Linked DNA regions of Anolis sagrei. The protein of the gene in region 3 interacts with the protein of the main gene of each other region in a pairwise test. Links are inferred from orthologs where the notes say so. Each region holds a gene or a part of one and is shown on either strand. Other genes may lie near its edges.

Region 1 (8,246 bases), on a different chromosome or scaffold from region 3:
TGGTATTCTTGAAGTCACTGACTTGACATTGAATGAGCTGGGGGTGGCAACGGCCAACAGGGAGCTCTGGCGTGGGCTGGTCCATGAGGTCACAAAGAGTCAGAAGCGACTGACTGAATGAATAAACAACAACAGTATGGAATACATCGCACCACGTTAAAATGGTGAATGTGGCTCTTAATGAGACATGCTGCGTTATCACACTATGTTTACATCCCACACTACTGGAGAAATTATACTGTTTAGCTGGCATTGCACCACCTGACATCAATCAGGAAGTAGCAGCCAATAATGAAAGGACGAAGGTAGTGACATCTCTGGTCCATCCTCTGTTCAGATATCAGCGAAGATGCCGACAGCTGAAATCAAGAAACAGCTTCCTAAGATCGAAAGAGATACTCACAGGAACACCTCAGCAAGCTAGAGTCCAAAAGTAGCAGGTTAAAACCCTGCACCTTAATCAGTGGTTGAGATCAGTGAGAAACTCCCTCCTGGGCACACAGAAGATTGGGCGACCTGGAAGGCACTGAACAGACTGCTCTCTAGTATCACGAGGTACAGAGCCAATCTTAAGAAATGGCGCTACAAAGTGGAGCCCACGATATGTGAGCGTGGAGAAGAGCAAACCACAGACCACTTACCATAATGCATCTTAAGCCCTGCCACATGCACAATGGAGGACCTTCTAGCAGCAACACCAGAGGCACTCCAAGTGGCCAGCTACTGGTCAAAGGACATTTAATCAACTACCAAGCTTGCAAACTTTGCGTTTTGTTTGTTTGTTTGTTAAAAAATGCAATGCAACTGTTTGGTCTGCCCCTGACACGATAAATAAATAAAATGCTAAGGAATGGTAAGACATGTAGTTTCACAAGGTCCTTAGCCTTCTCTGCCAAAGAGTGGTGGATGCCTCACCAAACTAAACTCCCATTATTTCCTAGTATTGAATAGTGGTGTCAAACTGCATTGATTCTACAGTGTAGATCAGTGTTTCTCAACCTTCCTAATGCCTCGACCCCTTAATACAGTTCCTCATGTTGTGGTGACCCCCAACCATAAAATTATTTGCGTTGCTACTTCATAACTGTCATTTTGCTAATGTTATGAATCGTCATGTAAATATCTGATATGCAGGATGTATTTACATTCACTGGACCAAATCTGGCACAAATACCTGATACGCCTAAATTTGAATACTAGTGGAGTTGGGGGAAAATAGACCTTGACACTTGGGAGTTGTAGTTGATGGGATTTATCATTCACCTACATTCAAAAGCATTCTGAACCTCACCAATGATAGAACTGAGCCAAACATCCCACACAGAACCCCCCATGACCAACAGAAAATACTGTATTTTTTGATGGTCTTTGGTGACCCCTGTGACACTGGTGTAGATGAATCTGTGCCATCATTTATATACAGTAGATCATACTATTATATAGATAAGAGTCAATCTTCTGTTCCTAATGAGGATATGCTCCAAATTAGATAGCTAGGAAGTATAAGAGGAAGCTGATTTATATCAGATTTATATCAGACATTCCATATGTCGGAGGAGGAGAAGGTGAAGGAGAAAGCTCTCCAAGGTTTCAGACAGGAGCTTTTGCAGTTCAGCCAAACCTTTCCAGACCTGGACCTTTTGCAACAAACATCCCAAACGATCATTGAATTTCTATAAAGAGGCATTGAAAGATCAAGGGAAGGCTATGGAGAAATTTATATCTTTTTCTATAGCTTGGATATAGTCCAGAATAAGGACTGATTTAAACTGGCTGCATCAAGCCTCAACGTGTTCAAGATTGTGAGCCAATATAAATCCCCCCTATGAGCCAGTTTGGATTACATCAAGAGGAGATCCTCTTGATCCTTCACATTTGGAGAGGACGTGCGGGGGACAAAAGTTTTGCACAGGAAGGCATCCGGCACATGAATTTCTCACTTGCGGCTTAATGTGGCAAAACACCCCCACACATGCATCAGCTCAGGGAAAATCAGGCAGCGTTCTTCTGACTCACTTGCAAAGGAATTAAATTATACTATTCACTTTATATCAGCACAAAAGAGGCAAATCACAGCACCCTGGATACTGAGAAAATAGTCGTGGTCTATTAAAAAGCCACACACAAGGAGGTTATCCCTTTCAAGTAAAACTTTAGGAACATATTTATCACAACATGGGCTTTGTAGACTGTGAATTGGAACTCGGGGCCCCCCAATTTCACTAATCTACCTTTGAAGTTTGTTTAAAATCAGTGACAGATTGAAGTGTTCTGAAAAGCAAAGTGATGCTAAAGTGAGAGATTCAGTAGGACGTTGCCAGCTATCCCTAGAGCTTTGGGATAATGGTTTCTTATCACACAAAAGGTGTTGATTGTCATATCTACTGTTAGATTCTTGGTATCTGTGAGTTTCCTGAACCAATGGCGCGCATTAATCATGTAATTATTACTGTCTGTATAGTTTGTATGTAATTTTTCTCTGGTCTTGCTTTCTATTCTTTATGCATTTGGTGTCTGTATGTTCTGTACATATGTGTACACACACATATACAAAGACACACATGTGTATATATACACACACGCACACATATATACACATATGTATAGGTAAAGGCTAGTTGTGTTAGACTCTGGGGGATGATGCTCACCTCCATTTCTAAGCTGAAGAGCCGGTGTTGCCCGTAGACACCCCCAAGGTCATGTGGCTGGCATGACTGCATGGAGCACTGTTACCTTCCTGCTGGAGCTCCCCTGAGGCAGGCCGTTCTTCTGTTTCCGCCATCTGCTTCTCTGGCCCTGGAACTCAACAAAAAAGCTCCTGTTTTGTAGCAGGTTTCCTATGAGGCGGGTGAGGTGATAGTCCTTTGTGATGTTATACATTTTTCTCAGGAGGAGGCAGTGGTTCACAGTATCATAAGCTGCTGACAGGTCTATGAAGACAGCTCCTGTGATCTGCTGCCTTTCAAAGCCATCTTCTATGTGCTGAGTCAGGTTCAGCACTTGCGATGTGCAGCTTTTGCCTTTCCTGAAGCCAGCTTGCTGTGGAATCAGACAGGGGTCTATTTTTTCCAGAAGCTCTCTGAAGCTCTAGGTGCTCTTACTGCCTATTACAGGGAAAACCAACTAATCCCTAATCCATCTAAAACACAGACATGTGCCTTTCACCTTAAGAACAGACAAGCATCCCGAGCTCTGAGGATTACCTGGGAAGGAGTCCCACTGGAGAATTGCAGCGCACCCAAATACTTGGGAGTCACTCTGGACCGTGCTCTGACCTACAAAAAGCACTGCCTGAACATCAAGCAAAAAGTGGACGCTAGAAACAATATCATACGCAAGCTGACTCGCACAACCTGGGGATCACAACCAGGCACAGTGAAGACATCTGCCCTTGTGCTATGCTACTCTGCTGCTGAGTACGCATGCCCAGTGTGGAACACATCTCACCACGCTAAAATAGTAGATGTGGCTCTTAATGAGACATGCCACATTATCACGGGGTGTCTGCGCCCTACACCACTGGAGAAACTACACTGCTTAGCCGGTATTGCACCACCTGACATCCGCCAGGAAGTAGCAGCCAATAGTGAAAGGACCAAGGCAGAGACATCTCCAGCTCATTCCTTGTTTGGGTATCAGCCAGCACGTCAACGACTTAAATCAAGAAATAGTTTTCTAAGATCTACAGAGACACTTGCGGGAACACCTCAGCAAGTGAGAGTCCAAAAGTGGCAGGTTCAAACCCAGCACCTCAATCTGTGGGCGATACCAAATCAGAGACTCCCCCTGAGCACACAGAAGACTGGGCGACTTGGAAGGCGCTGAACAGACTGCACTCTGGCACCACGAATTGCAGAGCCAATCTTAAGAAATAGGGCTACAAAGTGGAATCCACGACATGCGAGTGTGGAGAAGAGCAAACCACCGACCACCTGCTGCAATGCACCCTGAGCCCTGCCACATGCAAAATGGAGGACCTTCTTGCGGCAACACCAGAGGCACTCCAAGTGGCCAGATACTGGTCAAAGGACATTTAATCAACTACCAAGTTTGCAAAATTTGTGGGTTTTTTTATCTGCTTGTTTGTTTTGTTCTGTTAGAAATGCAATATAATGGTATGGTTGCTGATGACATGATAAATAAATAAAGCATAATACAATATCAGTATTATATATTACTATATTGTACTATACCATTATATTGTAATATTATTAGCAATATTACATGTAATATAAAATATATAATTATATCATATTATTATTACATTGAATTGCATTACAATATAATAATTGTATATATAATATATTATACTACATTATGTTATTATATCAGATGCACCTTGAGTGTTTTTTGTTTGTTTGTTTAACCTAACAATACAGGGCTTCTATGACATTACAGTGTGACAGTACATTTGGTTCCGTTTTAATTGCCATGGCAACATCCCAATGGGCTTCTGGGGTGTGTAGTTTCCCCAAGGGCTTTCAATGCCTGTTGCCATGGCCGTTGCTATGACAGAGGAATGTGAATAACCCTCCTCCCCCCCTTTCAGAGGTAGTGGGAGGGCTTAGAAGTATTTTAAGTGTGTGGTTTCCCCAAACTGGTTGTGTGTACTTTGTACTTTTGCAGAGATCCCTTTTTCCCGCCTTCTTACCTTGCTTCTCCCTCGTCACGTGACGTGGACCTCTGCGGCCTCTCACCCGCACGCGTGCGCGCGCCGTGCCCTGAGGCTGACTCTGGGCGAGAGAAGGGGAGGCGTGGCTTCGTGGAGGGGAGGCGTGGCTCCGGGGGGCGTGGCTTTGGGGCTGGGTCGCGAGGAAGGAGGCAGCGAAGGGGGCGTGGCCCGAGGAGAAGGAAGCAAGCGAGCAAGGAAGCAGGCAGGCAGCGCGAGCTGGGCGCAGAAGGAGACGTTTCCTTGGTGAGAGGGGAGAGGGCGGTTGGAAGGAGGGGGGGGGGCCTTGAGGCGAAAAGGCGGTTTCTAGGGGGCCCTTCCTTCCTTCTATTTATTTATCTGGAGAGCTTGGGGAGAGGGAGGGGGCTCTGCCAAGCTACACACATAACCCACACATAGGGAGACCCCCCCCCAAAACACACACACACACAACACTACAGACGTGGAGTCCCTACTCACACATAGTATATACATATACATACACCTATGGATATACAAACAACAGCCACACACAAGCTGTTCAACTCAAGACATAGAGACCCCCCCCCCCCAAGTAACACACATACACAACACTACAGGCATGGAGTCCCTACTCACACATATTAAATACATATACACACACCTATGGATATACAAACAACAGCCACACACAAGCCTATACACAGCTTCAATTCAAGACATAAATAGAGACCCCCTCCCCAAAACACACATACACAACATTACAGACATGGAGTCCCTACTCACACATATTATATACATATGCATACACCTATGGATATACAAACAACAGCCACACACAAGCCCATACACAGCTTCAATGCAAGACATAAATAGAGACACCCCCCAAAACACACATACACAACATTATGGATATACAAACAACAGAGCTTCAACTCAAGACATAAATAGAGACACCCCCCAAAACACACATACACAACACTATGGATATACTAACAACAGCCACACACAAGCCCATACACAGCTTCAACTCTAGACATAAATAGAGATCCCCCCCAAATAACACACATACACAACACTACAGACATGGAATCCTTACTCACACATATTATATACATATACACACACCTATGGATATACAAACAACAGCCACACACAAGCCCATACAAAGCTTCAACTCAAGACATAAATAGAGATCCCCCCCCCCAAATAACACACATACACAACACTACAGACATGGAGTCCCTACTCACACATATTAAATACATATACACACACCTATGGATATACAAATAGCCACACACAAGCCCATACACAGCTTCAACTCAAGACATAAATAGAAACACCCTCAAAAATAACACACATACACAACACTACAGACATGGAGTTCCTACTCACACATATTATATACATACACCTATGGATATACAAACAACAGCCACACACATAGCCCATACACAGCTTCAATTCAAGACATAAATAGAAACACCCTCAAAAATAACACACATACACAACACTACAGACATGGAGTCCCTACTCACACATATTATATACATACACCTATGGATATACAAACAACAGCCATACACATAGCCCATACACAGCTTCAATTCAAGACATAAATAGAGACATCCCCCAAAACACACATACACAACATTATGGATATACAAACAACACAGCTTCAACTCAAGACATAAATAGAGACACCCCCCAAAACACACATACACAACACTATGGATATACTAACAACAGACACACACAAGCCCATACACAGTTTCAACTCAAGACATAAATAGAGACACCCCCCCAAAACACACATACACAACACTATGGATATACTAACAGCCACACACAAGCCCATACACAGCTTCAACTCAAGACATGAATAGAGACCCCCCAAAAAAGAAATAACACACACAACACTACAGACATGGAGTCCCTACTCACACATTATATACCTATACATACACTTATGGATATACAAACAACAGCCACACACAAGCCTATACACAGTTTCAACTCAAGACATAAATAGAGACCCCCCCCCCCAAATAACACACATACACAACACTACAGACATGGAGTCCCTACTCACATATATTATATACATATGCATACCCCTATGGATATACAAATACACACAAGCCCATACACAGCTTCAACTCAAGACATAAATAGAGACACCCCTCAAAAAATAACACACATACACAACACTACAGACATGGAGTCCCTACTCACACATATTATATACATATGCATACACCTATGGATATACAAACAACAGCCACACACAAGCCCATACACAGCTTCAACTCAAGACATAGGGACACCCCCCAAAACACACATACACAACATTACAGACATGGAGTCCCTACTCACACATATTATATACATGTACATACACCTATGGATATACAAATAGCCACACACCAGCCCATACACAGCTTCAACTCAAGACATAAATAGAGACCCCCCCCCCCCAAACCAACAACACACAGAGCCTTAACTCACACACATCTACCCGCATACTGAGCCACTAAACCAAGCATGGGCAAACTTGGGCCCTTCAGGTGTTTTGGACTTCAACTCCCACATTAGGAATTGTGGGAGTTGAAGTCCAAAATACGTGGAAGGCCCAAGTTTGCTCCATGCCTGCTCTACTACACCAAACACACACAGTCCTTACATACTCTACTCATGCACACATGGACCCCCATACACATGACATAACACGACACACAAAACCTTGACTCATACACATCTACCTGCATACTGAGCCCTTAAACCAATCATGGGCAAACTTGGGCTGTCCAGATGTTTTGGACTTCAACTCCCACAATTCCTAATGTTAGGAATTGTCGGAGCTGAAGTCCAAACACCTGGAGGGCCCAAGTCTGCTCATGCCTGCCCTAAACGCACACAGATACCTTACACACACATACACAAAGAGAACAACAACACATAGGCAGCCCCCTACACACACAGAGCCTTTACTTACACACACACATATAGAGCACCCCTGCACACAAACTATGGAGACCCTACACAGAAACATGTCCCCCAACTCTTCTCCAGTCACTTTCATTCGCTGAGAATCTGACAGGTGTCCTTCTCAGCTTTGCTTGCCCCACATGAACAAGCAGTGTAGTACTCCAAGGTTAAGGAAACCACTGCCACACACACTTTTTCCAATTTCATCCTTATCAAGATAAGTTGCCATCTCCATTCTAGCTACAGGTGGAATAACGAAAGGTGCGAGAGGCGAGGCTCAAACCCACTCTGGTTAACAATACCGGAAGCTCGCCAGGCAGATTTAAAGGACACTTAGTGTAATGTGTTGTCAAAGGCATTCATGGCCAGAATCACTGGGTTATTGTGAGTTTTCCAGGCTGTATGGCCATGTTCCAGAAGCATTCTCTCCTAACATCACTTAGTGTGATATTAGGGTGTATTAATGCTGTGCTGTCTCGATGGCAGTGGGGAGACATTGACCTTCCAGATTTCTTTGTGCCAGAGCTTGTTGGAAGGGTTTAAGGATCAAATCAAGGTCTTGTAAGGGAAAGGTTTGTTGCTGCCTCTGTCTTTGTCTTACGAGGAGGTGGGGGTGTCTTTATATTTA
Region 2 (8,599 bases), on a different chromosome or scaffold from region 3:
ACCCCACCAGTATTCAAATTTGGGTGTATCGGGTATTTCTGCCAAATTTGGTCCAGTGAATGAAAATACATCCTTCATAGCAGATATTTACATTACGATTCATAACAGTAGCAAAATTACAGTTATGAAGTATCAACGGAAATAATTTTATGGTTGGAGGTCACCACAACATGAGGAACTATATTAAGGGGTAGTGGCATGGAAAGGAGATGGCCAGGAGCAGGCATGAACAAACTTTAGCCCTTGATGTGGTTTATGGAAGGCCATAACACCTGGAGGACTGTAGTTTGCCCATGGCTGGTCTGGAGAGTGGAGGCTGTTCAGAAACTCTAATGAAATCCACTTCCATGGAATGATTGCTGGTCTGGAAGCCATGAAGCAGTACTTCCTATAGCTTTCTGGTTGCAACTTGGAAAGCAGAGACCACCCACTTGGACACTGCAGAGAAATCCAGACCAAGGAGTGGATGCTTCCAAGCTTGGCTGAGAGGGTTGCCATATTCTATACCAGGGGTCCTCAAACTTTTTTAACAGAGGGCCAGGTCACAGTCCCTCAAACTGTTGGAGGGCCGGATTATAATTTGGAAAAACATGAATGAATTCCTATGCACACTGCACATATCTTATTTGTAGTGCAAAAAACACTTAAAAACAAAACAATAATTAAAATGAAGAACAATTTTAACAAATATAAACTTATTAGTATTTCAGTGGGAACTGTGGACCTGCTTTTGGCTGATGAAATAGGATTGTTGTTGTTGTTGTGTGCTTTCAAGTAGTTTAGGTTGACCCTGAGCGTGGGCCAGGTAAATGACCTTGAAGGGCCATATCCGGCCCACGGGCCGTAGTTTGAGGACCCCTGTTCTATACTTTTCTCTCTAAAGCTACATCTATACTGGTAAATGTATTTATTTATTTACTTTATTTATACCCTACCTTTCTCTACCTTGAAGGGACCTCAAGGTGGCTTATATAGAGGCAATTATTCAATGCCTTAAACACATACAATTCAAAAAAATTAAATTAGATTAGATTAAAATTAAAACATATTAAACCTTTAAAAACATTCAATTCCATATTAAATGTCACAGAATCCTGCAGGTTGTAATTTTACAAGGTCTTTTGATTAATAATATTTATTTTTATTGATGTTTTATTGTTTTATCCCACTCCCACCTTCCCCTCCTTCTACATGCAATTTATACAGCAAACTACAGAAGTTACATTTGAAATATCAATCTCAGTCTTAATTTTCTACTCCATATCTTAGCACATTCTCTAATAATTCCTAACTGGTTCCCACATCCTCTTAGTTGTTGTAACCTTTTCAATTTTATCTATGTTTCTCCATTTGCAATTGGTTATTTCCACATTTAACATATTAACTATATACTTAGCCAGTGTCCATTTTGCTTCATCTTTCCAAACCCTCAGTAAAACAATTTGTGCACACGCTATTAATTTGTCAACCAATTTTTCTTTTTCTATATTCTTCATTCCTGTTATCTGTGCATGTAGTACATTTCTATTAACTATTATTGTTTGTAAATTTAACAAGGTCTTGAGCCTTCTCTGCCAAAGCATGCTGGTACCTCACCAAACTACAAACTCCCAGAATCCCACAGCATTGAGCCACAGCAGTTAAAGTGGTGTCAAACTCCATAGCTTTTGAACTGACAGTGTGGATGAGGCATGGGCCCTCCAGGTGTTTTGGAATTCAATTCCTACCATTCCTAACAGCCGCAGGCCCTTAAGATTAAGTGGCTGAGGGGAATAAGGAAAGGGCCTGAGGCTGTTAGGAATGCTGGGAGTTAAAGTCCAAAAGAAGCAGGGCTGTATTGCTTCTGCTGCTTTGTTCTTTCTGTGGTTTTGGAGTTCAACTCCCAGAATTTCTGACCATCGGACAAACTTACTGCAGTTTCTGGGAGTCTCTTCATCACATTAGCGAAAAAATCCACTTAAAATCCAGTTTCTGCCTCCTGCAGAATTTTGGGGTTTGTAGTTTAGTGAGGCTATTAAAGGCTCATCCCTAAACTACAAACCCCAGAATTCTGCAGGAGGCAACAACCAGATTGGCTGATACATTCATTTCTATTTTTCTCTATTAGCCTATTCTAGTCATTTCCCTCTAAGGTTGGTACACTGGGAAATGTCATAGAATCCTGTTAGTTGTAATTTTACATGGTCTTGAGCCTTCGCTGTTAAAGCTTGATGGTGCCTCACCAAACTAGAAACTCCCAGAATCCCATAGCATTGAGCCAAAGCAGTTAAAGTGGCATCAAACTTCATAGCTTCTGAATCGACAGTGTAGATGAGGCATGGGCAAACTTGGGACTTCCAGGTGCTTTGGACTTCAACTCCCACCATTCCTAACATCCTTAAGCGACTGAAGGGGAAAAGGAAAGGGCCCGAGGTTGTTAGGGAGTTGAAGTCCAAAACACTTGGAGGGCCCAAGAGATGCACCCTAAGAGGAAGCAGGGCTGTACTGCTTAAGCTGCTTCAAAACTTTGTGCTTAAGCGGTTGAGGAGGAAAAGGAAGGGGCCTGAGGCTGTTAGGAATGGTGGGAGTTGAAGTCTTAAGGTTATGCGGCTGAGGAGGAAAAGGAAGGGGCCTGAAGCTGTTAGGAATAGTGGGAGTTGAAGTCTTAAGGTTATGCAGCTGAGGGGGGAAAGGAAGGGGCCTGAGGCTGTTAGGAATGGTGGGAGTTGAAGTCCAAAACACCTGGAGGGCCCAAGAGATGCACCCTAAGAGGAAGCAGGGCTGTGCTGCTTCAAAACTTTGTTCTTTCAGCGATTTTGGGCTTCAGCTCCCAGAATCTCTGACCATTGGACAAACTTGTAGCGGTTTCTGGGAGTCTTTTAATCACACCTAGAGGAAAAAAAATCCACTTAAAATGCGGTTTCTGCCTCTTGCAGAATTCCGGGCTTTGTAGTTTAGTGAGGCTGTTAAAGGCTCCTCCTTAAACTACAAACCACAGAATTGTGCAGGCCGCAGAAACTGGACTGTAAGCGGATTTGTTTGCGAGTGTGCTGAGGCCACAAGTCCAAAAGAGCAACTTGGGGAATGTCTGAAAGCCAAGGCGCTTCTTCTTACCGTCCGCCGATGCCCGGGTGGCTGAGCTGCTGCCGCATCCAGTTGAACTGTTTCTTCATCATCTTGAAGGAGAGAGGAGAACCGTCCCAAGACCAGGATCCAGCCGGCCGGCAAGGGCTCCAGCCCACTTCTTCCCCCAGCCCTCCTTTAAGGCCCGCCAGCAGCGCCTCTTGCCGCCATCCCTCCTCTCCTCCTCCTCCTCCTCCTCCTCAACAGGTTTGCTTCCTTCTCATTATCTGGCCTTCCTTTCCCTCTCTCTTTGCGGTTTCCCTCCCTCTGCCTCCCCTCCTCCTCCTCCTCCCAGGTCGACTTCCTTCTCTTCCCCTCCACTTCTCTTTCTTTCTTCCTTCCTTCCTACTCCTCCTTTCCCCACCTCCTTGCTCTTCCCTTCTCCCCCTCTCCTCTACTCACCGCCACCTTTCTCTCTCTCTCTCTCTCTCTCTGTTTCTGATCAGGTAAGAAGGTCTCTGCCCGCTGCTCCTCTCAGTTCCTCTCACCACCCCATCGAAGACCTTCTTTTTTGGTTTTGTTTGGAGTATAAATAACTTCGGCCGAGCCTTAAAGGGGAAATATTATGACAGCAAACACGCAGCTCAGGCAGAACAAGCGACGTCTTCTGCAAGCGCTGGTGGTTGTAGTATTTTACTGCTTCCTACTTTTGTTTTCTCTCTTTCTCAGCATTGGCAGGCTGACATATCTGGGCTTGGGTTGTATGACTCCCCAGACGGCAGCTAGGAGTGCATCTACGCTGGAGAATTAATGCAGTTTCAACCCCGCTTGCACTGGCATGGCTCAGGGGCTATGGAATCCAGGGAGTTGGAGTTTTACAAGGTCTTCAGGCTTCTCTGCCAAAGAGTGCTGGAGCTTCATCAAACTGCAACTCCCAGGATTCCATAGTTCTGGGCCACAAATGGAATGTTGGTGGACAGGAAAAGAGATTTAAAGATGGGCTTAAAGCCAACCTCAAAAACAGTGGAATAGACAATGAGAACAGGGGAGCCCTGGCTCTTGAGTGCTCTAACTGGAGGTCAGCTGTGACCAGCAGTGCTGCGGAATTCAAAGAGGCATGAATGGAGGGTGAAAGGGAGGAATGTGACAAGAGGAAGGCAGTCAAGCCAACCCTGACTGGGACTGCTTGCCGTCTGGAAACTGTTGTCCTCACTGCAGGAGAACATGCAGATCAATAATAGGGCTCCACAGCCACTTACAGACCCATTGCCAAGACACCACAACTCAAAGACAATCATCCTCGAGCTACGAGGGATCGCCTGAGTAAGTAAGTAACTGGGGTACACTAAAGTGAGGTCAAATTCCATTCACGCTACAGTGTAGACCAGTGGTTCCCAACCTGTGGTCTGCGGACCACCAGTGGTCCCCAATACCATGTGACAACGAGAGCAACTAGTCTCGTAAAACCCTCTTATAATGCTGAAGCAAGGAGGCTGAGATGACAGGAAAGCTTAGAGGAGACAATGATGCTGGGGAAAATGGAAGGAAAAAGAAAGAGGGGCTGACCAAGGCCAAGATGGATGGATGGTATCCTTGAAGTAACTGGCTTGACTCCGAAGGAGCTGTGGGTGGTGATGGCCGACAGGCAGCTCTGGCAAGGGGTGGTCCATGTGGTCACGAAGAGTCGGAAGAGACTGAATGAATAAACAACAACAATGAGACCAAATGAGAAACTCCCTCCTGGGCACACAGAAGAGGGGACAACCTGGAAGGCGCTGAACAGGTTGCACTCTGGCACCACAAGATGCAGAGCCAACCTTAAGAAATGGGTCTACAAAATGGAGTCCATGACATGCAAGTGTGGTGAAGAGAAACCACAGACCACCTACTGCAATGCAATCTGAGCCCTGCCACATGCACAATGGAGGACCTTCTCACCGCGATACCAGAGGCACTCCAAGTGGCCAGCTCCTAGTCAAAGGACATTTAGTATAATGCTCAAATCCAAATGCATACAACTGTGTAGTAAAATTATTTATCTATACACATAATGGGTACTAGTATTTATAGTTCACCTGCAATCCAAGAGCACTCTGGACTCCACCAACAATGGCCCTGAACCTAACTTAGCGCACAAAATACTCAATATGCCCACATTTGAATACTGGTGGCTCTGGGGTGGACTTGGCCTTGACATTTGGGAGTTGTAGGTACTCAGATGTATAGTTTACCTGCAATCAGAGCACTCCGAACCCCACTGATGATGGAGTTTCAGGGGGTTAACCTGGCATGATGTGAGTTGTACTTCATCCACAACCTTATACATTTTGTAAAATGCAGAAATAACTTCTTCTAACAACCAGGACAACACCGGATACCCAAGTGTGTGTGTGTGTATACATACATATATTCCCAAAAGAATACGCTGATTTTGCGCTCTCTCTCTCTCTCTCTCTCTATATATATATATAGCAAAATCAGTGTATTCTTTTGGGATTTTTAAAACTGAATTTCTGAACCATGGGTGGTAGACTCTGGATACCCTCTTTCTTTTGGGCCAGGTCTCTTCCTTGTATTAATCTTGTGTGTGACAACACTGATCATCAAACAACACAACATACAATTATACAGACTCATGTCCTGTACTCTCCCAAGATCTCTAATTGCATCCTGCCCACACAGTTTCTAAGGCTGTTAATCCTCTGTTTTGAACAAAAAACTGCACCAAAACAAAATTCTCCATTAAGGAAATGCAGATATACAATGAGGTCTGAGTACGGAAATCTTCCTTATCTGGTCACTGTTTTATCTTGCTCAGTCCTCACTATGCTACTGAGTTTGCATGGCACACTGCCAGTTATACTTTCAGTTCTGTCCTCATAAGGACCAGAACCCTGATTATTTTTCCTTGCTTTAAAAAAAATACTTTATCAAGTTTGTAATAGCTTGCAGAGCACAAAATACTAAATCTAGAATTGCTGTTGTTGCATGCCTTGAAGTGATTTCTCACATGATGATCCCAAAGCAATGACCAATCTCATTGAGATAGTGAAGAGTAGAGACATCACGCTGGCAACGAAGATCCACATAGTTAAAGCAATGGTATTCCCCATAGTAACCTGTGGATTCGAAAGCTGAACCATAAGGAAGGCTGAGTGAAGGAAGATAGACACTTTTTGAACTGTGGTGATGGAGGAAAATTCTGAGAGTGCCTTGGACCGCGAGAAGATCCAACCAGTCCATACTTCAGGAAATAAAGCCTGACTGCTCACTGGAGGGAAGGATATTAGAGGCAAAGATGAAGTACTTTGACCACATCATGAGAAGACAGGAAAGCTTGAAGAAGACAATGATGCTGGGGAAAATGGAAGGAAAAAGGACGAGGGGCCAACCAAGGGCAAGAAGGATGGATGGTATCCTTGAAGTGACTGGCTTGACTCTGAAGGAGCTGGTGGTGGGGACAGCTGACAGGGAGCTCTGGTGTGGGCTGGTCCATGAGGTCACCAAGAGTCGGAAGCAACTAAACGAATAAACAACACAAAGATCACAAAGCCAATAGGGTTTCCTTGAACAGACAAGAGTTCTTTCTCCCACCCTGGACATTCTACAGATATATAAACCCCATTTTCCTAGTTTCCCACAGATCTCACAACCTCTGAGGATGCCTGCCATAGATGTAGGTGAAATGTTAGGGGAGAGTGCTTCTGGAATATGGCAGTATAGCCCGGAAAACTCACAGCAACCCAGTGATTCTGGCCATGAAAGCCTTTGACAATAAATAGGTTTTTTTTGGGCAGATTTTTTTCATAGCGGATTTGCCTTTGCTTCCTTTGAGGCTTAGAGAGTGTGACTTGCCCAAGATCACCCAGTAGGTTTCCATGACTGAGTGTGGATACAAACCCTGGGTTCCCAGTGTCCTAGTCCAGTGCTCAAATCACAACTGGCTCTTAGAATGCTGTTCATAATTCCATGCTTACCCTGCCAAACAATGGCACATTCAACAGCCCTCTTTTCCATCTCCGGAGTGTTCTGTTCAATGTGTGGAATTATAAATATGTGCTGAAAGAGCCACCCTCACTCCTTCAGCGTCATCTAAGAAAAAAAGCTGATTAGCAGTAGAAATGAGCTTGGAAAAAGTTTGAAGCACAGCCCTCAGGTTTTTCAGGCTATATGGCTATGTTCTAGAAGCATTCCCTCCTGACATTTCACCTGCATCTGTGGCAGGCATCCTCAGAGGTTGTGAATTCTAGGAGTTGTACAAGCAGTAACTTTTTAAAGCTGTGGTTCACAGTAATAACAGAGAAATGCAGCAGAGAAACTATCATAGAACGTAGAATAAGCAAGAAACACACTGTTGTAAGATGTGGCAAATGACCACCAGCTTGGGTAACTTTTGAAAATTTACCAATCCATTGAGGACCTGTTCACCATGGTAGCCAAATGGCATAGAAGGGGTGCGCTGGAAAGAGTGATTGGCTACCTTTTTCCTTCTGGCCCTAAATTCTTCAGGAATTAAGGGTACTGATACAGCAAAACAATTATTGGGTCTGAATGATAGTAGGAAGATAGTTTTTTTAAAAAATAATAATACTGGTAATCAGATTTTGTTCATTTTCCAGGAAGTTAAGAAGAAATCTATATAATATATGTATTGTATTGCATTGTACTGATGTGGATGAATGTTATTTGGTTTTTTTTATATGTAGGTTTGACACTGTGGTGAATATATAGATATATTAATGTATACTATATGCGAAACCATACACATATACATATGTATGGACCTAACACATATAGAGGGAACTACACAACGCTCAACTATTGTTATTGTTGTTTACTTTTATGTTTGTCTTGTCCAATCTTCTTTAATAAAAATGAATTTAAAAAGATTTTGTTCATTTTCATGGTTTCCTCCTTTCTGTTGAAATTGTCCACATGCTTGTGGATTTCAGTGACTTCTCTGGGTAGTCTGACATGGTGGTTGTTAGAGTGGTGCAGCATTTTTGTGTTGTCAAATAATATGCTTTGTCCAGGTTTTCATCAGGTGCTCTGCTATGGATGACTTCTCAGGTTGAATTAGTCTGAGTGCCTTTCATGTTCCTTGATTCGTGTTTGGTGGTCCCTATGTAGACTTATCCACAGCTGCATGATATACGTTGGACTCCTGCAGAGGTGAGAGGATCCCTCTTGTCCTTTGCTGAATGTAGCATTTGTTGGATTTTCTTGGTGGGTCTGTAGATTGTTTGTAAGTTGTGTTTCCTCATCAGCTTCCCTATGCGGTCAGTGGTTCCCTTGATGTATGTGAGAATACTTTTTCTCTGGGTGGATCTTTTGTCTTTACTCTCGTGGCTTGTTCTCGGTCTTCTAATTCTGTGGTGGAGTATCCATTGCTTTGTAGAGCCCAGTTTCAGTGGTTCAGTTCAGCTTGGAGATTATTTTTGCACAGTCTGCCAGGGCTTTAATTGTGCTTCTCTTTTTTCTTGGGTGATGTTTTTAGTTTTTATGTAATTAAATGTAATCTATTTGTTTGTTATGTGCCTTCAAGTTATTTCTGTGG
Region 3 (8,549 bases):
GAAGCTCTAGGTCAGTGCTTCTCAACCTTGGGTCCCCAGATGTTTTTGGCCTACAATTCCCAGAAATCCTAACAGCTGGTAAACTGGCTGGGATTTCTGGGAGTTGTAGGCCAAAAACATCTGGGGACCCAAGGTTGAGAAGCACTGCTCTAGTTGCTCTTACTGCCTACTACAGGGAAAACCAAGTGATCCCTAATCCATCTAAAACACAGACATGTGCTTTTCATCTCAAGAACAGACAAGTATCCTGAGCTCTGAGGATCACTTGGGAAGGAATCCCACTGGAGCATTGCAGCGCATCCAAATACCTGGGAGTCACTCTGGACCGTGCTCTGACCTACAAGAAGCACTGCCTGAATATCAAACAAAACGTGGGTGCTAGAAACAGTATCATACGAAAGCTGACTGGCACAACCTGGGGATCACAACCAGACACAGTGAAGACATCCACCCTTGTGCTATGCTACTCTGCTGCTGAGTATGCATGCCCAGTGTGGAACATATCTCACCACACTAAACCAGTGGATGTGGATCTTAATGAGACATGCCGCATTATCACGGGGTGTCTGCGCCCTACACCACTGGAGAAATTACACTGCTTAGCCGGTATTACACCACCTGACATCCGTCGGGAAGTAGCAGCCAATAGTGAAAGGACCAAGGCAGAGACATCTCCAGCTCTTCCCTTGTTTGGGCATCAGCCAGCACGCCAACAACTTAAATCAAGAAATAGTTTTCTAAGATCTACAAAAACACTTGCTCGAACACCTCAGCAAGCGAGAGTCCAAAAGTGGCAGGCTCAAACCCAGAGCCTCAATCAATGGCTGATACACAATGAGAGACTCACCCCTGGAAACACAGAAAACTGGCCGACTTGAAAGGCGCTGAACAAACTGTGCTCTGGCACCATGAGATGCAGAGCCAACCTTAAGAAATGGGGCTACAAAGTGGAATCCACAACGTGCGAGTGTGGAGAAGAGCAAACTACAGACCACCTGCTGCAATGCAACCTGAGCCCTGCCACATGCACAATGGAGGACCTTCTTGCGGTAACACCAGAAGCACTCCAAGTGGCCAGATACTGGTCAAAGGACATTTAAACAACTACCAAGCTTGCAAACTCTGTCTTTTGTATATTTGTTTGTTCTGTCAAAAATGTAATACTCGTGTTGCCTGACACGATAAATAAATAAAATAAATCTCCCCGATGTGGACTCGGAGCGGCTTACATGGGGCCAAGCCCGGACAACATAATACAGCAATGAAATCAAAGCATATACAAGAGACAACAACAACATTATCAAAATGACATTAAAATAATAATAATAATAATAATAATATAAATAAATAAATAATACACATATTCCCTTTACAAGCAGATTGCATATCCCATCAAGTGAGGTGGGAAGGCCACGAATTGGAAGTGGAGCCCACCTATGCCCTCTCGAAAAGAAAAAAGGCACATGGGGGGCAGAGAAAGGAAGGAGAGAGAAGACAGCGAGCCAAGGACAGAAATGCATTCAGGAGAAGCTCCTACACTGTAGAACGGATGCAGTTTGGCACCACTTTGAACTGCCATAGCTCCATCTGAAGAGGTGTCCTTTGGTGAGGCACCAGTATGGTAGAGAAGGCAAAATACTTGATAAATCTCAACTCCCATGATTCCATAGCACGCAGCAATGGCCTTTCAAGTGGTGCCAAACTGGCTCAAGGCTACAGAACCCCGGGAGTTGCAGTTCAACCAGGTCTTCAGCCTTCGCTGACAAAGTGTGCTGATTCCTCATCAAACTACACCTCTCTTGATCCCGTAGCATGGAACCATGGCAGTTGAATGTGTGTGAAAGTGCATTCATTCTGCAGGAAGGGAGGGAGGGAGGGAGGGAAGAAGGGAAGGAAGGAAGGGAGAGAAGGAAGGGAAGGAAGGAGGAAAAGAAGAAGGAAAGAGGGAAGGAAGGTGGAGGGAGGAAGAGAGGAAGGAAGAAAGAAGGAAAGAATGAAGGACAGAAGGAAGGAAGGAAGGAAGGAAGGAAGGAAGGAAGGAAGGAAGGAAGGAAAGGAGGTGAGGAAGGAAGGTGAAAGAGTGAGGAAGGGGAGGAGGAAGAAGAAAGGAAGGAAAGGAAGGCAAAGAAGAAAGGAAAGAAGGAAGGGAAGGAAGTGAGGAAGGAAGGTGAAAGAGAGGGGGGAAGAGAGGAAGGAAAGAAGGCAGGAAGGAAGGCAAGAAGGGAGAAGGGAGGAAGAGAGGAAGGAAGGAAGGCAGGCAGGCAAAGAAGAAAGGAAAGAAGGAAAGGAAGGAAGGGTGAGGAAGGAAGGTGAAGGAGAGGGAGAGGGAGAGAGGAAGGAAAGAAAGAAGGGAGGGAGAAGGGAAGGAGAGAGGAAGGAAGGAGGGCAAAGAAGAAAGGAAAACAGGAAGGAAGGGAACGAAGTGAGGAAGGAAGGTGAAGGAGAGGGGGAGGGAAAGAGGAAGGAAAGAAAGAAAAGGAGGGAAGGAGGCGGGAAGGAGAGAGGAAGGAAGCCAAAGAAGAAAGGAAAAAAGGAAGGAAGGGAAGGAAGTGAGGAAGGAAGGTGAAGGAGAGAGGGAGGGAGAGAGGAAGTCAGGAAGGCAGGCAGGCAGGCAGGCAGGCAGGCAAGGAAGGAAGGAAGGAAGGAAGGAAGGAAGGAAGGAAGGAAAGGTGAGGAAGGAAGGTGAAGGAGAGGGGGAGGAAGAGAGGAAGGAAAGAAAGAAGGAAGGAAGGAAAGAAGGGAGGGAGAGAGGAAGGAAGGAAGGAAAAGAAGAAAGGAAAAAAGGGAGGAAGGGTGAGGAAGGAGAGGGGGAGGGAGAGAGGAAGGAAAGAAAGAAAGAAGGAAGGAAAGAAGGGAGGGAGAGAGGAAGGAAGGCAAAGAAGAAAGGAAAAAAGGAAGGAAGGGAAGGGTGAGGAAGGAAGATGAAGTAGAGGGAGAGAGGAAGGAAAGAAAGAAGGAAGGAAGGAAGGAGGAGGAAGGAAAGTGAAGGAGAAGGAATGAGAGAGGAAGGAAAGAAGGAAGGAAGGAAGAAAAGGAAAGAAGGAAGGAAGGAGGTGAGGAAGGAAGGAAAGAAAGAAAAAAGGAAGGAAGGAGGTAAGGAAGGAAGGGAAGAGGGAGGGAAGGAAAGCGGGAAGGAAGGGAGAGAAGGGGGAAAGGAAAGAGAGCGAGGGAGAGAGAGAAGAGGGCGAGCCAAGGACCGGGGAGGAAGAGGAGCATTTGGGGCGGAGTGGGGAAGGGAACTCGAACAAATCCGTGCCTGGGAAAAGCCAAAGCTTTGAAGGCAAGAGCAGGGCGCCTGGCGAGGGCTTGCTCAAGAACCTGGGCGAGGGAGGCGAGGCAGAGTGGCTGGAAGGAAGCCGAGGGAAGAGGGCCAAAGTCTGGGGGTGGCGGGGGGGGAGCGGGGCGAGGGCGCTGGGCGCAGAGCCCCCCCCAGAGCAGGGGAGCAGGGAGCCCGCCCAAAGGAAGCTTACCCATAGCTCCGTGCCCCAGTCCATGCTGGCAGCAGCCGCGTCCTCCCGAAGCCCCAGCCGCTTCCACCGCCCTCCCGAGAAGGAGTCCCACTCACTCCCGGGGCCCCACCAGCTCCGCCGCCTGCCCCGGACACGCCCCGAGCGGCGGCCTTAAAGGCGCAGGCAGGCCCGAGCCGGGGCTGCCTTGCCTGGCCAAGGGGAGGCCCTCCCTCAATCTCTCCCTCCCTCCCTTCCCTTTCCCAAGAGGAGAGCCATGCCAATGGAGGGGGCTCCGTCCTTGGGGAGGCAACTTCCAAACTCTCCTTCTCTCTTCCTTTCAAAGCTCAGCACCACCACTTGGGCTCATTGGGAATCAACAGTCTCTTTGGGGGAGCCTGGATCCTTGGGCTTCAAAGCCTGTTGAAAGGTGGTGGTGGGGGGAGCTATTCATGACCAGAATCACTGGGTTGTTGTCAGTTTTCCGGGCTCTCTTGCCACCTTCCAGAAGCATTCTCTCCTGACGTTTCGCCCACATCTATGGCAGGCATCCTCAGAGGTTGTGAGGTTTGCTGGAAACTAGGCAAGGGAGGTTTCTATATCTGGGAAGACCTGGCCCTTGAGCATTCCAACTGGAGGTCAGCTGTGACCAACAGTGCTGTGGAATTCAAAGAGACACAAATAGAGGGCGAAAAAGAGAAGTGTGCTAAGAGGAAGAAGGCATGTCAAGCAAGCAGAGGTAATTTTCAACGGTAAGCAAACAGTATTTTGCCCCCCCCCCCCCCACAACCAATCTTCTATATAAATAAAAATATAATGTTAGTTCGTGCTGCCATCAGAACTCAAAAACCACTGGGGGAATTGTCACCAAATTTGGACACAAGACACCTAAGAGTCCAATTTATGTCCTTCACTCAAAAAAAATTGATTTCGTCATTTGGGAATTGTCGTTGCTGGGATTTATAGTTCACCTATATAAATAAAAATGTAATGTTCGTTTGTGGGATTAACATAACTCAAAAACCACTGGATGAATTGACACCATATTTGGACACAAGACACCTAACAACCCAATGCATATCCTTCACTAAAAAAAATTGATTTTGTCATTTGGGAGTTGTAGTTGCTGGGATTTATAGTTCACCAGCAATCAAAGAGCCTTCTGAATCCCACCAACGATGGAATTGAACCAAACTTGACACACAAGACTCCCATGACCAACAGAAAAAACTGGAAAGGTTTGGTGGACATTGACCTTGAGTTTGGGAATTATAGTTCACCCACATCCAGAGAGTACTGTGGACTCAAACATTGATGGATCTGGACCAAACTTGGCACGAATATTCCATATGCCCAAATATGAGGGAATAGACCTTGACATTTGGGAGTTGTAGTTGCTGGGATTTATAGTTTACCTACAATCAAAGAGCATTCTGAACTCCACCAATAATGGAATTGGGCCAAACTTAGCACACAAGACTCCCATGACCAACAGAAAAAACTGGAAAGGTTTGGTGGACATTGACCTTGAGTTTGGGAATTATAGTTCACCCACATCCAGAGAGCACTGTGGACTCAAACAATGATGGATCTGGACCAAACTTGGCACGAATATTCCATATGCCCAAATATGAACACAGATGGAGTTTGTGAGAAATAGACCTTCACTTTTGGGAGTTGTAGTTACTGTGATTTATAGTTCACCTACAATCAGAGAGCATGCTGAACCCCACCAATGAGAGAATTGGAGCAAACCTCCCACACAGAACCCCCATACTTAAGGCCACCCAGTCCAATTCCCATCACCAGGGCAAGAAAAGCTCTCCTGACAAAGAGCCATCCAGCCACAGATATTGATAGATATATATGATTCACATACACTCAAATATAGTATTATAATTTGGAAGTGACCTCTAAAGAAGGGCAATTATATGTTGCATGTTCCAGAGCAGGCAAACCAGACAATCTCCACATCAACATTGACAAAGAAACAACAAGAAATACTGTTTACCCACAAGCTTAAATATATTAGAAACCAACACTTTCACATTACTTTATTTTCCAGACTGGGCCACAGCAACACGTGGCAGGGGACAGCTAGTCAACAATAAATTAAACACATGTAGACTAAAATACATAAAAGTCAGTTCATCAAGATAAAATCATGTCCAACTCAGTCCACATATGTGGTTGACTGCACTGAAATGACCCCAAATTACTTTACTCTAATCATCATGAGGAGGGCGACTAAAATGATCAAGGATCTGGAGAACAAGCCCTATGAGGAGCAGCTTAAGGAGTTGGGCATGTTTAGCCTGAAGAAGAGAAGGCTGAGAGGAGATATGATAGCCATATATAAATATGTGAGAGGAAGCCACAGGGAAGGTCAGGAGGGAGGGAGCAGAACTGATCTCAATCGGGAGAGAGTTTCATAGCCCAGGGGCCACCCCATAAAAGGCCCTGTCTCTCATTCCCACCAGACGCAACTGCGAGGGTGGTGGGACTGAGAGCAGGGCCCCTCCAGAAGATCTGAACAGCCTTGATGATTCATAGGGGAGAATATGTTCAGATAGGTAAACTGGGCCGGAGCCATATAGGGTTTTGTAGATTAAAACCAGCACTTTGAATTGTGCTCAGAAGCTAATTGGCAGACAGTGGAACTGGTGCAACAGAGGAGTTGTGCGCTCCCTGTACCCTATTCCTGTTAGAATCACAGAATCATAGAATCAAAGAGTTGGAAGAGACCTCATGGGCCACCCAGTCCAACCCCCTGCCAAGAAGCAGGAATATTGCATTCAAATCATCCCTGACAGATGGCCATCCAGCCTCTGTTTAAAAGCTTCCAGAGAAGGAACCTCCACCACACTCCGGGGCAGAGAGTTCCACTGCTGAATGGCTCTCGCAGTCAGAAGGTTCTTCCTCATGTTCACATGGAATCTCCTTTCTTGTAGTTTGAAGCCATTGTTTCACGTCCTAGTCTCCAAGGAAGCAGTAAACAAGCTTGCTCCCTCCTCCCTGTGGCTTCCTCTCACATATTTATACATGGCTATCATATCTCTTTTCATCCTTCTCTTCTTCAGGCTAAACATGCCCAGCTCCTTAAGCCGCTCCTCATAGGGCTGGTTCTCCAGACCCTTGATCATTTTAGTTGCCCTCCTCTGGACACATTCCAGCTTGTCAATATCTCTCTTGAATTGTGTTGCCCAGAATTGGACACAATATTCCAGGTGTGGCCTAACCAAAGCAGAATAGAGAGGTTGCATGACTTCCCTATATCTAGACACTATGCTCCTATTGATGCAGGCCAAAATCCCATTGGCTTTTTTTGCCGCCACATCACATTGTTGGCTCATGTTTAACTTGTTGTCCACGAGGACTCCAAGATCTTTTTCACACATACTGCTCTCGAGCCAGGCATCGTCCCCCATTCTGTATCTTTGCATTTCGTTTTGCCTTCCAAAGTGGAGTATCTTGCATTTGTCACTGTTGAACTTCATTTTGTTAGTTTTGGCCAATCATCTCTCTAATCTGTCAAGATGGTTTTGAATTCTGCTCCTGTCCTCTGGAGTATTGGCTATCCCTCCCAATTTAGTGTCGTCTGCAGTCTTTTTTTTTTTTTTTTTTTAATTAATTTTTTATTAAATTTTTTAAATGAACATAGAAAGACAATAGAAAACAATACAGGTCATTCAACCGCACTATGACATTCATAATCCACATTGATCCTATCTAGCTAACTACCTAACATAGATCCTCTAGTACAAAAAACATACGATACAATACAAACATATTTAAAAACAAGTGGCTTGCTGCCACTATTGGACCTCCATCTCTCTCTACTACTGCATTTCTGTATAAAATTTCTCTCTTGCTATTCGTACATTAGTCTTGTATGTTTTCTTTGTCCTAAGGAGCCCTATCTTATCTTACTATAACTTCTTACTTAGGCATACATAAATGTTTCTTCTCGCATATCGAAAGAGTTCTATACATTTCCATTATATTTTCTATCGCTTAACTTTCCTGTGGTTGTTGCTATTTCTAAGCTATTTCAATTCCTCGTAGTCTCCTGTATAAGTCCTGTGTCTTGTTTTTATTTGTAGATATTAAACTGTTAGCAGATTTATCTTTTTTCCCCGAAGCCATTCTCTGACCGGGGTCCAGTTCGTTGGAGATATAGGCATGTTGCGTGAGGCTGACAGGATATACGTTAGATGGTCTGCGTTCATTATATCTAGTATTTTCTCTATCCACTCTTCCTCCGTTGGTAATGTCTTTTGTCTCCAGACCTTGGCCAGTAATAAGCGGGCTGCCGTTATTAGGTGGATGAACAATTTTTCTACCCCTTTGTCCCCCATCCCTCCTGTTAGTCCTAACAGGAAGCATTCCGGTCTAAAAGGGATATTTTTCTTTATTATTTGTTGGCACTTCTCGTGTATTAGTTTCCAAAAGTTGTTAATTCTCACACAGGACCACCACATGTGTCTATAAGTCCCTTTCTGTTCTCCACATTTCCAACATGTATAGCACATCTGTTTGGAAAACTTCGCTATCTTAGCTGGGGTTAAATACCACTGATGCGTCATTTTCACCCAGTGTTCTTTCAGATAGTAGGAATAGGAATAGTTTGTTTTACTGTTCCATACTAGACTCCACTCCTCTAAAGAGATGGATCGCCCTATTAATCTAGCCCAGTTTATCATATATTCTTTAACGCGTTCTCCCTCCGTAGACCATTCTAGTAATATCTTGTATGCTTTTGTGATATATTTTTTAGGGGAGTCCAGGAGCCTATCCCAAGCTGTCGGGTTTTCCATAAAGCCTAGTTGGTTGTCTTTTTTAAAGTGTTCTTTCAACTGCCAATGTTGTAACCAGGTGATGTTGTTATACTGCGTTTTTAGTTCATCCTGAGTCTTAATCCTAATTTCCTTTCTTTCCCTGAGTAGTAGATCTTTATATGTGGGCCATAAGCCCCATCCCAGTTCTCTCCTTTGGTGAGCCTCGAGAGGGGAGACCCAGAGCGGTGTCTTGGGGTACATCCTATCTTTGTATTGGTCCCAGACCTTTAGTAGAGCCGATCGGATAAAGTGGTTACGAAAGTTC

The links.
Region 1: the proteins of TRIP10 (region 3) and ARHGAP12 interact in binary tests that used the Homo sapiens proteins (3 or more experiments, as listed by UniProt). The two-hybrid records come from large-scale screens. The link is inferred for Anolis sagrei from reciprocal best matches to the Homo sapiens genes TRIP10 and ARHGAP12.
Region 2: the proteins of TRIP10 (region 3) and SH3BP1 interact in binary tests that used the Homo sapiens proteins (3 or more experiments, as listed by UniProt). The two-hybrid records come from large-scale screens. The link is inferred for Anolis sagrei from reciprocal best matches to the Homo sapiens genes TRIP10 and SH3BP1.

The regions. Positions count from the first base shown.
Region 1 is NC_090026.1:112,231,059-112,239,304, reverse strand, and holds the start of ARHGAP12 (rho GTPase-activating protein 12), read left to right. Parts: upstream 1-4,831; 5' UTR 4,832-4,915; intron 4,916-8,246. UniProt on the Homo sapiens protein: GTPase activator for the Rho-type GTPases by converting them to an inactive GDP-bound state.
Region 2 is NC_090025.1:165,017,282-165,025,880, forward strand, and holds the start of SH3BP1 (SH3 domain-binding protein 1), read right to left. Parts: upstream 3,497-8,599; 5' UTR 3,156-3,496; coding exon 3,094-3,155; intron 1-3,093. UniProt on the Homo sapiens protein: GTPase activating protein (GAP) which specifically converts GTP-bound Rho-type GTPases including RAC1 and CDC42 in their inactive GDP-bound form.
Region 3 is NC_090022.1:171,013,659-171,022,207, reverse strand, and holds the start of TRIP10 (cdc42-interacting protein 4), read right to left. Parts: upstream 3,621-8,549; 5' UTR 3,495-3,620; coding exon 3,471-3,494; intron 1-3,470. UniProt on the Homo sapiens protein: Required for translocation of GLUT4 to the plasma membrane in response to insulin signaling. Required to coordinate membrane tubulation with reorganization of the actin cytoskeleton during endocytosis.